Linked DNA regions of Lepisosteus oculatus. The protein of the gene in region 1 purifies or fractionates together with the protein of each later gene. This does not show direct contact. Links are inferred from orthologs where the notes say so. Each region holds a gene or a part of one and is shown in the gene's direction. Other genes may lie near its edges.

What was found.
Region 2: the proteins of actin-related protein 2-B (region 1) and churc1 purify together in Homo sapiens (affinity purification with mass spectrometry; 4 studies listed by BioGRID and IntAct, with this or other methods). This does not show direct contact. The link is inferred for Lepisosteus oculatus from reciprocal best matches to the Homo sapiens genes ACTR2 and CHURC1.

The regions. Positions count from the first base shown.
Region 1 is NC_090712.1:9,089,444-9,097,724, reverse strand, and holds the start of actin-related protein 2-B, read left to right. Parts: upstream 1-4,896; 5' UTR 4,897-4,986; coding exon 4,987-5,034; intron 5,035-8,281. Other genes in the region: N(4)-(Beta-N-acetylglucosaminyl)-L-asparaginase, read right to left, coding at 44-89, 1,542-1,698, 2,432-2,570, 3,723-3,831. UniProt on the Homo sapiens protein: ATP-binding component of the Arp2/3 complex, a multiprotein complex that mediates actin polymerization upon stimulation by nucleation-promoting factor (NPF).
Region 2 is NC_090703.1:20,994,997-21,002,762, reverse strand, and holds the start of churc1 (protein Churchill), read left to right. Parts: upstream 1-4,350; 5' UTR 4,351-4,437; coding exon 4,438-4,476; intron 4,477-5,193; coding exon 5,194-5,329; intron 5,330-5,666; coding exon 5,667-5,737; intron 5,738-7,766. UniProt on the Homo sapiens protein: Transcriptional activator that mediates FGF signaling during neural development. Plays a role in the regulation of cell movement.

The DNA.
Region 1 (8,281 bases):
TTGGAAGACCAGGACTTTTTATTGGTTCATGTTGAATCCTTACCCAATGTGTCGTGTCCAGACAAACTTTTCTTCTTTTCTAAAAAATCCTTAGATATAATAGAAAGGATAAACATAATTTTGTTAAAATATTTAAAAATATATAACTTCAGCATATTTGTGTAATTTATAACAATAGTTGGAATTGTCCTACCTACAGTATATGGATTACACTGGTAGCTTACTTTTAAAACCAACTGTTTCAAACCAGGCATTAAGACTGAAGGAAACTGATGCTTTCCTAATTAATCTGAAGCAAATACAAAAGCAATTACTTCTTGTAGAATCCTGTCACCTGACCGTGTAATTTCATTAGGAGTTCTTAATTACTGTACAGCTTTTAATCAGAGGTACTGAAAATCTCGAAAGTATTCTCCAGGCTGGCGAGAATGAGATGAATTACTCCAAGACCAGACAATTCTAGACCCTTTCCTTTAAGAGGAACTACTGTAAGTAGCTGTCTGTGGAATTTCACACCCTTTTTTTGCAAATTCTCCTTTATTTCTGCTTAGTCAAGATCCAGTATTGCCCACCAAATGTTTTTATGAAAACTTTTATACTTTTAGACAAAACTATCTGGACATAACATATCCATTGTCGTCCTTCTATTCCACCAGAAAAGACCAGAGAGTGTTTGGGTTTGAAGAGCTACAGAAGCCATTGCAAAGCACTCATTGCCAGACACTTTGAGATCTTAGATCTCTCCATGCTCTCAAAATTGATTTCAATGGCTTTCTTAATGTTTCCAGCTGACATTTTCTGTATTTTCTCACGTCAGACTGCAGTATTTCAGTACTGCTACTTGAGCCACTCTTGACATGAGTGGTCTTTGTGAACAAAAATCCTTGAAATCAGAAAGATAAAACATTGTTCAAAATAAAACAATATTAATTCTATACTTATACATATAAATATTTTATTATAAATTGTAATAAAACATTTTCCTGTGCTCTACAATTACATTGGTTTCTAGTTTACAAATATAGATGTCTCAAAAATTAAATAACACAGATGAATGTTTTGTTTTAAAAAGTGTTATTTTGTTAGTTCACAAAGTACAAAAACATGATTTCTCTTTTTCTTTGTATACCTGCCTCTTCTTTGGGGTTTTTATTTGTCAGTGCATTAAACATAGTGTGACTACACTATGAACTTTTGGTACATACTGTAATTGTATTTATTCAATAAACATCTGGACAGTTTGCCCAAATTGCCTCTTTCTCTTAGTCTCAAAACACAGAAATCACTTCATTTTACAAGACAGAGTAAAACACAAAATGTTGTACATTCTGGTTTGACAGATGTCAGGATTAATACATTAGTAAACAGGATCACTTGTGCTGGAATGCAGTGTGTGAACATTAATAATGCCCGTGTACAGGTATTAATATGTAAATATGAATACATATCGAATGGATATTACCGTGCAGTTTTGAATAACAAGAGACCCACATAGGCTGCCCCTGATGATCTATAATTCAGCAGCTGGAGGTGAATGTTACCTGATAGGCCCTGGCTGTCTCTGGAGCCAGCATGCTCTCATTGTCCTCCACGGTGAAACCCTGCTCCAGGGCAAACGCCAGGGCTCCTTCCCCGACCAACAGGCTGTGACAGCTCTGCTCCATGACTCTGCGGGCCACTCTGACTGGAGTCCCCACACTGTCACACACACACCACACACACGCGTCAGGGGCACAGACATAGGGGGCACAACAATCCACCGGATTGCGAAGGAACGGGATGCTAACCGGGAGGAACACAGTACAGTAGAGAAACATTTGTGACATGTTCTTCAGACATACAACACTTTAAAACGCTAAAACTGAACAGCTGAGGGAGCGCTTTTAAAAATAATCAAATATTTTGTCTTATTGAGCTCACATAAATGGACTTTTACTGCCACCTGGCTAAAGTCTCCACAGCAGTAGAGAAAAGACTGTAGCGACGTGGATCGACACTAGAGGGCGCCATTGGGCCGGTGTTTAGAAATGCATCAGTCTCCTGATCAGCCTCCTGCTTGGAAGCTGGGGGACACAGTACTTCATTATTTAAAGCGTGTCCTGTTAAAGCCAGTGACTATGGCTGACACCTTGCAATTTTCTCTCTGAAAACACTTATTTGTCGTCTAGCACAGAGGCAAAGAGACAGATTCCATGACATGCCGAAAATAAAAGCACAAAAGGAAAAAGACAGGCGGTGCACAGGATACTTAATCAGCCTCTCACCAGAACAGTCGCACTCATCGGCTGCAAGGTTTCAGCACTTCAAATGTAGCAGTGAAGCTGGCTAGGAGTCACCGCTCTTGGCTTTGTGGATTAAAGTATCAAGGTTGCCAAAAAGGAGAGCAAGTAAAAAGGAACAATTCGATGTAAAGGGTGTATACTTGTCTTACCCCTGAAGGGCTGCCACTGCACCAAAGCGGCCCGCGATCCCCTCCATGAGCGCAGCGTCACACTCAACCAGCCCCTCGCTGTTGGGGTAGCCCCCTCTGCCCACGACGAACCGGCCCGTCTCCCTGTCATTCTCAATATCTAGAAACACGCAGAGCTCCAGTGAGCAGAGCTCTTCAGCAGCTATATCATTGTGCAGCTCACAACTGACAACACACTGAAGCCAGTACCCGGCCTGTCCAGCACCTGGATGGGAGACCTATCTGGGACAACTGAGGTCGCCGCTGGAAGTGGGGTCAGTGGAGCCAGTAGGGGGCGCTCACCCTGCGGTCTGAGTGGGTCCTAATGCCCCAGTATGGTGACGGGAACACTATACTGTTCAATAGGTGCCATCCTTAGAATGAGATGTAAAACCGAGGCCCTGATTTTCTGTGGTCACTAAAAAATACCCATCTATGAACTGGCTTTACCACTCTGTTCTCCTCCCCACTGATAGCTGGTATGTGATGAGCGTATATAATATACTATATAAGTGTAAGGACTTCTTATTAGTTATCATTCAGGTAACCCTGATGTGATTATCCCTATTAGTTCTGATTAATATGATCTTAATCTCATTTAGTTTTTTTTTGGTCATTAATACTCAATAAACTATTTTAAGTATCTATTCTAGAAAAATAAAAACTACAACTGCAGAAAACCATAGATTGCCATGCAATCTGCAAACAGGCACAAATTCCCATGGCTGTCCCAAAGATAAAACGAGCCGCTGATGTGACATTATCCGAGTGTGCCTACAAATCTTTACAATCCTTCGAAATACAGAGTGGAACAGTGGTTGTCTCTCTGGACCACAAGGATCGGGTGCTCGAATCCCAGGTAAATGCTGCTGTTGTACTCTTCAACCGGGTACTTACTCTTTTTACATGCCTACATTCCTCCCACTCATACATGGAGCCCCAGGCCATCAGTGAAAATAATTTGAATTTGATCTTAATTGACATAGCTGGTAAAACAAAGGAATAGATCAAATCTAGCCCTAATGTTTATATTGGTCACATTTTGCAATGGACACCCATAGCAGCAGAAAACTGACCTTTTAATAAGATCAGTTACATTTGGATAAGTCTCCTCACGTGTTTAAAACCGATCTTTGTAATGATTTAAGTGAAATGCATTGGTACTGTGTATTGTGTGGAGGCTTGTGTGATGTTTTATTTCCTTTATATCACCTCAATGTAGAGCCGAGTGTTAGGCAAGATGTTGTAGTGTTGAGTCCTGAGTGTCACTTACCTGCCATAGCCTGTTCCACACAATCAGTGGAGTGCTGTCCTTGTACAATTAAATACCTCATTTTCTCTACAGCGGGCAGTGAAAATGACCAGGTACCTACAGCAGCCATTCCTCCAGAGATCTCTGGTGATACTCATGTAGCAGGTACTGATTTTGGGTCACCTGCTGAACAGACAATTTTAGTAAACACCTCCAGGAGACTAAGGAGTGGCTTATTCTACAAAATGAGGCAATTTACAGAAACAACCTTCAATGGAGTGGAAAAATCAGTATTCCTTTAATTGCTTCATTTTCATACACAGATACAGGCCGATAAGTGATTCATCTTCATACACAGTCACGACATTTGTCACTTTGCTAGTCAACAGTGTTTTATCTTGCACAAGGCCTCACAGACTGTACCTACTCAGCACCTGTCTGAAGTCCAGGGGTGGTATTTATAGTTGTATACTTTGAGAAGACAGGAACAACAGGTTCATATTGAGGATTAATAGTATTTTTTTCTAGTCCGACTACTACTTGTTTTCCTGGTTTCATTTTCAATTTAGAAGTAAAGCCCACACTGAGAGTTTTTTTCTTGTGTTACCTTTGCAAGCTTTTACATGTTTTGCATTTTTTGTTAAATACTATTGAAATCGGTCAGTAAATCTCATAAGATTACCGTAGAACATTAAAACTATGTTAACATTGTATTTTCGACACATTGTATTAAGATTAGTGTTTTACTATAGCACCATTCAGTATATTGGTTATTATTGTTATTGTTGTTCTTATTGCCTAATACAAAATGTCGTATTAGTTTTGTAGCATTATCATCCCTCATGTCTATAGCAAATGGTAATTTGTATGTGACAATACCAGAAGTACATTTATAAACATTTTAACATTTTCATTCTCTTCCTGTATCAAACAAAACAACACACACCCTTTTTTCCCTCGGAACCGACAAGGTCTTCGCTGGCTCATTGAAAAGAATACTTATCTTCAACTGTAACGTAGAGCCTAAAGATCTGATTGGCTGCAACGCCATGTCAATAACTCGTCAGTTCAGGTACCAGGATGAGCTGCCACAGCTGCCGCAATTTTCTCCATTGTGATTGGATAACGTCACGTCCATTTTTTAGACGGGCGGGCTCTAACGTGGAAGCTCGGGTCACATGGCAGACTTACCGGAAGAAACCCTTTCCGGGAGCCGGGGTGGTGATTTCCGGCTTGCTGAAGAAAGTTGAGCAGGAGAGGTCTGCAGGTTCCTGGATTCTGAAAAATGGACGGTCAGGGAAGGAAAGTGGTGGTTTGTGACAATGGAACCGGGGTAGGTCTGATGACAGATTTCTTACTTTCGGTGATTTGTGCTTCTGCCCGATTCTTCTATGGCTGATTGTGGCTATGGAAAATAGAATCGCCTGAAACAGGAAGTAAAGAGGTTAGCTGACTGGGTGGGTAGGCAAAGGAATGTGAGTCTGTCAGCTTGTCAATTCCGCTTTCTTCAAAGGGACTGATGCTTAATCTGGTGCTCACAAGGTATATACGTTTTAGATTCAACGCTAAGATCCCTTGTTGAGCCACGTTCTGCAGTAGTGGGTAGACTGTGTTGGCATTGTGCATTTTGTATGGATGTAGTCATCGCTTGCCACCAAGGGCCAACACAGGGGATAATTGCTGGAATTTAGTCCGTAAGGGGAAGAAACGGAGCTCGCATGTCCCCGGTGAAATCATTAGATGTTTCTCTCCTCTCCCCTATCATATGTATGACGAACCATCAGTACATCGGTGCCATCACGGTATATTTAAGTGCCCCGTAGGTGAATCGCATTGTTCTGGTAACAAAAAAAAAGTTTCTAAGTCGAAGCTACGGATTGTGCCGTTTTATCAATGAATTGGGGCAGTATTGTTTGCGAGGGCGACAGAAACTGGAAGCGGTTGCACAGCGGTGTTGAAAATGCACCAGCACTCTGCCTCTGTAGTTTGAAATGTCCTTATACAGTTATCACTGGTACAGCCCCTGCTTGCGGTTTTACAGAGCTCGACAGGATGTCAGATCACGCAGGGCTATCTGTCGCGGCGCTTCGCTTGGAAGGTTTTCGGGATTAGAAAGCCCTGCTCGGACAACTCTCATTTTAGCCCCTTTATTTGTAAATTCCGATCATTTGTGAAACAGGTGACGCGTTCCGCGATTAAAAGATTGATATTTCCTCCATACAGCAGCCATGTTGCCGTACTGTGTGTTGCCACAGTTCGTCTGTTTGTTCAAGTCTGTACATGCAAACACATTCTTCGCGTTAGTTCCCAAAGCGCTTCTGAATTTACTTTCTTTGCGAAATGACAAACCAAGAAAAACAATTGTAAAGAACAACGTTAAGAAAAATCACTTTAAGAACCTGCCGATTTACTAAGAATGACTTCAGTCCGTCCATCTGTCTTGGTGTCTTATTGATACTCCTTGATGTATGAAACTCACTGCGGAAAAGCGGCTTAAATAAAATGAAGTATTTGGGTTCCAAGTTCACAGCAGATTGTAAGTGAGGAACATATTGCAAACAGACTTACAGTCCTTTCATAAATAAGTAAATTCGTTCTGACTAAATAAAGCACCAGTCAGATGGACATCCTGTCCTTTTTCTGGGACACTGGAGGTTATGTATTTTTTTTTCACAGTGCACTCCATTCTCCGTCCATCAAAAAAGAAAGCTCATAGCAGCGTGTCCCTTTTCTGTCAAATATTAGTTTACCAGCGCCACAGGAGGTATTTTTTAGCTTTCTTCATCATTGCAGCGTGTGAAGACTACAGAGCACTGCTTCTGAAGCATACCTGTGGAAGTGGCAGTTCAGATGAAATGTATTAGGTGTAGTTAGATGTATTTATTCGCCACGGTGAGATCCCTATAAAAACATGCACTGCTGCATATTTAATGCGGAGATACTGTGAGTAATGTTTGAACACGTACAGAAATGTATTGCCTTAGGCTTTTGATTGTGGTGTTACACCGTTTTAATAATTTGGTCAGTGGTGATTAATTTGTGTAAAGATAATTAAGTAGTTGCACTCTACAACTGTTGTTTAAGAACAGATTTTAGAACAGGTTGCCAGCGAGCTGAGGACGCTTATAAAATTTCAACCTGAAAAGAACAACATTTGTTTCCTTTTTAAATCAGCTCAGGTACAATGAGCTGATTGCATAAATCGTTTAGAGACCGAGCAGTCCAGATATCTCTGCCCATTAGCGATAAGAGCAGTGGGTGGGTTCTTTTTTTCAGCTTGGAGATTTGGCAGTAGAAACGTGCGTTTCGTTTTTTTCTGAACTAGTGCACATTAACTTGCCGGCTGGACTGCACAGGGAGGGAAACTTAACAGAGCACTTTGAAGGATGTTGGTTAATGTGCGTTGCAGAAAAGTGCTAGTTGTGCACTGCTTGACTGATGACTCAAAGGGAAGTGAGATCAGCACTGAAACCACATTCACAGCCCAAAGAACTTTAACTGTTTTATACAACAAATCAAATCTATTTCTGTATGAATGCTTATTATAGTTTTAGTTGAAATGTTTTTGTATGTCTTACAAACTATTCTAGCACCTTGCATATTGGCTGTTTTATCACAGGCTTAAGTATTGTGTGCACTTTTGGAGGTAGGCGTCTGGACAGTGGGTTACAAAAGACTTGAATTCCAGCTCTGTGACATGCTTGTTTTGTGACCCTGGGGCTTGATTCGTAACCCTCACTAGCTTGGTCTCACCCAGCTGGACTACTGGGGAGGTGTCCCTTGAAAAAAATCATTTAACCTAGACCTAGATTGTTTGTACAACAAGAGTCGGATTATCGGAGAGAATGGATTGGTCACTCTGCTTGGACACGAGACTCTGAGTAGGTCTGTCTAGAAGAAAGTTGCAGAGATTAAGCTCACGGTGACTGCTGATTTTAGCCTTCAGTGCTTGTGTGGCTGTGGGCATGCCTGTTGCGACAGGTCATCTGCATTCTTTCCTTAGTGTAGCAGCTAGACAGTACTTTTCGGTGAACATGGTCAGTTTTGCAATGCTGTGGAAATACCTACAGTAGTTAGCTATTTTAGTGTCCTGTTCCACATGCCTGTATGGGGATAGCCCTGGTCCTTGAGAGCGAGAGAATCCAGTAGGTCTTGTAGGTTTGCCTTCAATCATCGGTTTCTAAAGACTTGGAAGAGAAGAACTCGATCGGTTTACTTCTGGTAAATCAGGAACAGACAACTGTGATCCTTGGGAGCCACAGAGTGTTGTAATTATTTCTACACTGCTAAATTGACCCAGTCCCCTGCTTAAGTGGTCAAAATGAAATTGTTCCAGTCATTTAGAAATTGATGATTTAAAGGTGATTCGTAAAGTGTGCTGGATCCTGGCTCTCCAGCACAGAGGGAGTCTGCCTTGCACTAGCTGTTTACATCTCGCATCCATGAGAGTTTGCGCGAATTGTGATGTGAAACCACCCTTCCTGCACACTAGTCACCATAATAGCTATGTAATGTGATGTACAAGCAACTAAGTCCAGGTTGTGCATTAGATATTTCACCACAGAATGTCTCCAACATGA
Region 2 (7,766 bases), on another chromosome or scaffold:
TAGGATAGACCAGATTAAGCTTGTACCTCAGAGGAACAAATAGGCTATACATTATGTACTTTACAGTGCCAGCTACAGGGTTAATATTGTAGCTTCAAAACACACTATAGATTTCAATCTGATATGTGCTAATGTTGTGAAAATGTGTCTCTGGGTTCATTGTTACAGCTGTACCTGTACTCACCTCATCTTCTATAGTAAAGCCTTAATTTGTAAATTTAATCTTTTATTTTAAGGTGTGTGTATTAAAACAATAGCAAACTGTCTCACTGTGTTACCAATATAGCATCAAACCTGAGGTGAAAACAAGTACTGTACTATATGAAGTATGAACACCTCCTGACTGTGGAAAAGCTCATAAAAAGATATTTGCTTATGGCCTGCAAAGACAAGAACACTGGGCTCTCCCCCTTTGATTGAAAGAGCAGTTTATAATTGCCCATTGCCACTCTGTGAATTCTGATGTTAGAATACCCTCTAGATTGACCTAATCTACAGTGGCTGAAAGCATAATAGGGATGTGATAGAATAACATGGGTCAATGATAAAATATGGAGATCAAACAGTCCAAAAAAAAATCCCCTATTGTTGATTCATTTGAAGGCTGCATGCTACAACACATTAATGTTGACATAACTGGGTTACTCTTGGAACCTAAAATTAATAATTCAAATGAAGGCTGATCTCTTTTAAAGAAGGATGTACAGATAGTTTTATTTTTATAAATATATATGTGTGCAAGAATGTTTACAAGTTCAAAATAACAAAGATTATTTATGTGTTGGAGTGGATTTTGTATTTTTTGTATTCTGTTCTGCTTTTTAAAATTCGTATCACAAGCATTTTTGTATTTGCATTTAATATTTTTTAATTTTTGGAAATTATTTATGAACGTATATATTTTTTCCACAATATATTTGCTTTATTTAAAAATCCTGTGTGCATGTGTTTTATAATGTATAAAATATCTGCATTATGTTCTCTGCTGTGGTTGTACTTAGGCTCTGTAGTTGAAATGCCTCTAATCCAATAGCAGTATGTATTTGTCTTTTAAATGAGGAATGATAAGTTTCAGGATTCTTGTGGTTATTAAACAGCCTGACAGATTTGTCAAAAAGGTCTTTAAAACATTCACCAGTGGAGTCTAAACTGTCTTGTTTGGTGACCATCATCTTACTGATCCAAGAGTCCTATCAAGCTATTTCTTGAAGTGGGACAAGTGTTTTTTTTTCCAGACGGCATCTTATTTTGTGTCCTGAAAACTCCTCATAATTCTTACTTGTGTCCTTCTGCCACTGGTGGTCTTAAAGACCTCTCTTGCATTGAAAATTGCTATTCAGGATTTTTGTAAAAACACCTAACGTTTTCATGTTAACAATAACAGTGTATACGTTTAAAATATTTTGTGCGAGAAGCTCTTCTCTGTGTAAACACCAGTTTTGCTGTAATGCCCGTTGTAAATGGGTATTTCATTTATCAGCTCTTCAGTCAACTTTGGGTTAATCCTTTTGCTCTTTGTCTTTGAGGTACTCCATTACAACAATAATAATGAATAGATTCAGACCTGATACATACTTGGCCACGACCGGCTGTTACCAAGTCACATATGATGGTTTGAAATCAGTTTATTCTTCAATCTCCCATCTGTTAGCTGACTAAAAAGTGAAAAGCGACATGCTACTCACTTGCATCCATTCATTTCCTAATCACTTTATCCAGTTCAGGGTCACGTAGGAGCCGCAGCCTGTCTTAGCGAGTAACAGATGCAAAGCAGGATATACCTTGGATGGGACACCAGTCCATTACAGGGCACACACAGACACACACATACTCGCACCAGGACCAATTTTCCCAGACCTACTAGTATGTCTTTGGACTGTGGGAAGAAACCAGAGCACCCGGACCAAACTCAAGTGAACATACAAACTCCACACAGCTAGCATGTTTGGAATTGAACCCAGGGCCCCAGTGCTGCGAGGCAGCATTGCTAACCACTCTGCCACTGTGCTGCCCCCAACACAAGTGCAATTTTTCATTAAAATTGCTGAAAGCCTTAAAACTGAACAAAAATTAAAGTTAACATGTCACAGATCGGGCATGGAATGGTGGTACAGTGAATAGCATTGCTGCCGCGCAGTAATAGGGTCCTGGGATCAATTCCGGACCTGCTATCTGTGTTGAGGTGGTATGTTCTCCCCCATGTTAGTGTGGGTATCCTCCCAAGTGCTCAGGTTGCCTTCCACTGTCCAAAAAAAATACTGGTAATAATAATTGCTTTATGCTTCTATAGCACTTTTCTGGGTGCTCCACTCAGAAAGTTTTACAGGTAATGGGGTATTGGAGACTCCCCTCCTCCACCACCAATGACTAGGCCCACTTGGATGCAATGGCAGCCAAAGTGCACCTGTACACTCACCACACATCAGCTATCAGAGAGCAGAGTGATTCATCTAATTCATAGTTGGGGATTAGGGGCAGAGTGGTAGCACTGTGGCTGAAAGGTTGCCGGTTCAAATCCCACGGCTGGCAGAGGAATCCTATTCCGTTGGGCCCCTGAGCAAGGCCGTTAACCCCAGCTGCTCCACGGGTGCCATATAAATAGCTGACCCTGTGCTCAGACTCCAAGCTTCTCTCTCCCTGTCTTAAAAAATTTTATTGGTAAAGGCCAGTGGGAAATTTGGTCAGGACATTGGGGATAAGACCTCAACTTCTTTCAAGAAATACCCTAGCATTTTTAATGACCGCATTCAGGACCTTGGTTTTATGTTTCATCCGAAGGACACTGCTATATTTGAGCACATAGGTAGCACCCTGCAGTCTGTTTGTCCCACTAACACCTATCCCTTAGGTTTCCTCAGAAGTCTCACATCCCAAGTATTGGCCAGGCTCATCCCTACTTAGCTTCAGTGGGCTGCCAGTTGGTAGTTGCAGGGTGATATAGCTGCTGGCTAGTAGATTAATTGGCTTCTGGAAAATTGCCCCTAGGTGTGAGTGGGTGCATGTTTATCTATGTGTTTTTGTCTGTCTGCCGATGGACTGGAACCCCATCTGGGGTGCACCCTGCCTTGCACCCCTTGCTTGCTGGGATCAGCTCAGGCTCCCCTGCTCCCCTGATTTGGAAGAAACGGATAGAAAATAGATTTCACAGATTGCTTTTAGACCTCAGGTAAATTATGCAGCTACCAACAAAAGGAAATTGGAAGAATCATAAGTACTGCTCTGCATTTGGTGTATAAAAAATTGGACTAAATACTTTTTATTAGGCTGAAAATGGAGCTGTAGAAAAAAAAATCAAAAATACCAATCCCTCTTTTCTATTCCAATAAATGGATTCCATTTTCCCTGAAATGAAGAACACAACCCTGCCCTATGCACTGGAAAGAGCTGCTCTGTATTTCACAAAATTACATCAGCACCATGACTGCTGTAGCAGCATTTTCAGTGAACTCTGTGGTTAAGTATAAGTAAAGTCCAATGCAGTTTTTTCAGGCTTTTGACTTGGGTGGTCAGAATTTTACAAGGAAGCTTGCAAAGGATGTGCACTGCCTCTGACCCAATATGGATCCAGGCTATAAGTACAACAATTGGTTATTTTCCAGACTGGCAAGAAGATGACCTGATGTCTCATGAGGTGCCTCACTTTTGAGGTGGAACATAGCAATTTGGGGCCAATAGAATCTGGCGGGTTACGCTGATATCATTTGGTAACTAAACCTTTCTGCAAACGGCATGTGATTGAGGGCCCAGGAACGTTGGGAGATCGCTCTAGGACATGTGTAGAATGACTGGAATGACATCATCTGAGTTACTACAAACTTCAAGCATGCATGGATCAGTTTTCACAGGGGCAGCTGCTGCAGGATTGACTGCATAGCAGAACAGGGCCCGAGGCACAGTCTGGTGTCCTGCTCCTGCATCTATTTGTTTTCAGCACTGTCTTGTACTGCCACTGTTTTACAAAATAGCTGGTTGTCCATCTGAAGCGAAAGGAACTGAAAACGAAGTGGCAGTGCTCAAGAAACACTATATACTGAAACTCTATCTAAAACCAATGCAATTCAATCCAAAGATGTTTAGGTTTAAAACTTGGTACAAAAGTGAAACACTATGTTTTTGGTATATAGCCTACTGTATTCGTATTATTAAAAATAGAATTATAAACAGTACGAACAATAGTGACTATTAGCTGAAGAAATATGCTTATAAGCAAGACTCAAAACAAGGAAAATATCAGAATTTTTTCTGTTTAAAAAAATGTTAAATTAAATTTTATTAGAAGGTTGATTCGTTTAAAACCTTTTTTGCATCCAGTAAAGAATGAAAACGTCATTGCTCCGCGACAGAGCGGAAGTGGGTGCAGTTCGTGTATAAGTGAACTTCCCAGTTAGGAAGAACAAGTTGAAGTTTAAGTTGTTAGCAATATCTAGTCGACAAAGTATGTGTGGAGGTTGTGTACAGAAGGAATACCCTGACAGGGTAAGATAAATAGATTTTTAAAGTTCGTCCGTGGCTAAAACCATGTTTTGGCTAGTGTACATTTTAAAGAAATGTTTTAGTGCATGTGTATTGGTTTTGTTCACACGGATTTGAATGTTCACGTCTTTTATTCAGCAATATTCATTAAGGCTCATATTTTAAAATACATTGAATTCGGAAACTATAAAACTCGTTCATGTATTTGTTTACTTTTCCTAAAGTATTTTAAATGGTTGCGATTAACGTACTATACGCGCAAAGGAGCTCACTTAAATATAAATCTATTGTGGTTTGATAGTTGAAGTAGCACAAAAGATTTTGTAGTGCAATAAAATGAAAACGATTTATTTCGAAAAAAAAAACACTGCTACTCACATATTACCGTAAGCATTGCTTCTAGACGTTGATTTATACTGATAAAGCATGTTGTCATTCGCAAAAATTGCAGCACACCTCAGAAATTAAAGATTACTGTGCTCCTGTAATATAAATAATTTAAGATAAAAGTACCGGAAGAACAGATGAGGTGGGATTAATAGGTTTAACTTAATCTTTACACAGCATCATGTTCTTTACCTACATCATAATTCTTTGGTTTGTTGTCAAATTCGAGCAAAACTCCGGAGTATTACACTATTGACTATCTTAAAATTAGTTACCTTTTGAGATATCTCAAAGGATTCATATTTGCTCACCCTACCTCCCTTTCATTTCCAGGGTAGCACATGTTTAGAAAATGGGTCCTATTTGTTGAATTATGTGGGCTGTGCAAAATGCAACCAGCGGGACTTTGTGATGATCGACAACAGAGTCACAGAAGATGACGATGGAGAAGAAATTGTCACCTATGACCGTGAGTTTATGTCTTTGATGTACAAATTGCCCCAAAGAGGAATGTCCATTTAGACAGAGGAACTGTCTCAGTGGCAGGCAGTTTGTGTTGGGGGGGAAGAACGATCTTCAGATTTATCCCCAGTTAAACCCCACATACAGTTACCCTTGTGTAATTTTAAGCAACGGTGAATCTCCCTGCTGGGATGGGATGAAATTGTGCTGAAACTTATGATAAAATTGATTTTTTGTTTTTACATTTTGCTTTCATCCTAAAAGATCCAAAGATTTTTGCAGGGGCAAAAGCCCTCCTTTCTCCTCCATAATCTCTTGCTTTTTTCTCACTCTTGTTTTAACAGATGTGTGTAAAAATTGTCATCACATCATCGCAAGGCATGAATACACCTTTTCTGTTGTGGATGAGTACCAAGTACGTACCCATAATCTTTCATTCTTTGTGCACACCAGTAATTATGTGAGTGAAAGATATTCTCCAATTTATTAAGTGTAAGAAATGGTTTTCCTTATTTGATCAAGTATTATTTTTGGCAAGTATAAAGCAAAATTTTGTAATGAACTAAGTAGTTTTAAGAGTGCTGTTATGTACACACAGAGCACAGAAGAGTCCTGAGTCCTCAGAGAATGTTGTGTATTATACGCAGGAGGCTTTTTTTGCATGAAGCCTCACGGGAGTCTAGAGCAAGTTATATTAACAGCCATATTGTGGAAGCTGACACAGTGGTTTCTTTCAAAAAATGGCTGGATGAGATCATTGGATCAGTTACCTATCTACAGCCAAACAAACTAGTTGGGCAGAATGGATCTCACAGTTGTACAGAACCATTCATGTGAACTTGAAGAAAGGTTACATATTTTATAAATTTCATTTAACCTAGGTCTGGACTTCTTCATATTCTTAATAAAACTACGGTGTTGAATGTTTATTTCCCTGTCAAATATAAAGAAATCAAGTAGGTTGACTTTGTCAGTGGGGTTTTTGAATATTTGAATCAGATCCAGTTCAAGACTAAAAAGATTAATTTCTTGTAGCTTCTCAGAATTGGATGGGCTTTTAGTTCCAATTTTTTAATTGAGGTTTTACAAGTGTTTTCAAGATAAACAACTGAACCAAGTTTCTATGTTGTAAATACCCTATATTACAGACCTTAGATCCCTCTTTTCTCCACACCCTAAATCATTGAGCGTAAGAAATATGGCAAAAAACTTTTAGGTTCGGAAGTATCTGTTCTTACTTCTCTCTGAATTAAGTCTTACTTATGCATTGTACATTTTCAACACAACACTAGATTTAAGTATACCAAATATACCAAATCTATATACCAAAGTTTGGTTTGTATTGCCTCCCTACATTGTCTAGAACAGGAGATCTCAACCTTGGTCCTGGAGACCCACATTAATGCTGATTTTGTACCAGCTGAGCGCTGTCTTTAAATGTCCTAACAAGTCACTTGATTGGAAATTTTTCTTACTTGTTAGTGAGTAGAAAATAATGCAATCTTAATTTAATTATGCAAGACAATAGTTAAAACAGCCTCAAACTGGTTTAGGAAAATAACTCAAGAACTGAAATTATTCTTATTATTGGTCAATTAACAGCTCATTTCTGTAACTGACAGCTCAGCCAGTGAGTAGGTCTCCAGGCCCATGGCTGAAAAGCCCTGGATCAGAAGATGAAATTGTCCTCATAGACGCTTTAGTCTTTTCCCAAAATACTGTAGCATCTTCTTTTATCTGTATTTTGATTCTCCTACAGAACTTGCTTGTAAAACTCAACACTTACATTAAATGCAGTCTGCCAGGCGTATGCCCAGTCTGAAAGTTTAGGAATTTCCATGTTTCATTTCCAGATTCTACACTGTTTGTTAATCCTTCTATTTTGTTATAATATTCAAATGTAACCAGTTTACTAACTATACAAGAATTTCTATGTTATTATACATTAGGAATGTCAGTGGTCCTAGCACATATCCGTGTGTTTCTCCTTTAATTACATCACCCCTAATTTAAGTGTACTGTTTTATATTCCTTAATTACCATATCCAAATACATGCATGTAAGTTCCTCAAAAAAGATACCTTTTACCAAAAGCTTTCTTGCTGCCCATTGAATGCTCATCTTGTGCCCATTACTGCTGTAACTTGTTCAAGTTACTCCTAACATGTTAGTTTAACAAGATCTAGTTTTTCTAAATCTATTTTAGCTAACTTTGTGAATCATACTATCATAGAGATGATCCTCTATTAAAGTTCTAATTCTTATTTTTTATAGTCCTGTATGTTTTATAGTCCTGTATATTATACAAGTAATACGTCCAGTTTGGTTTGGTTTTCTCACCCATGTATGTTCGGTAGACCTTCATAATGAATTCCAGAATGTGCAAACTGATGCCTCCCTGGCGAAGTGCTTTACCTCTGATCAAGCACCTTGATCTCTTTTCT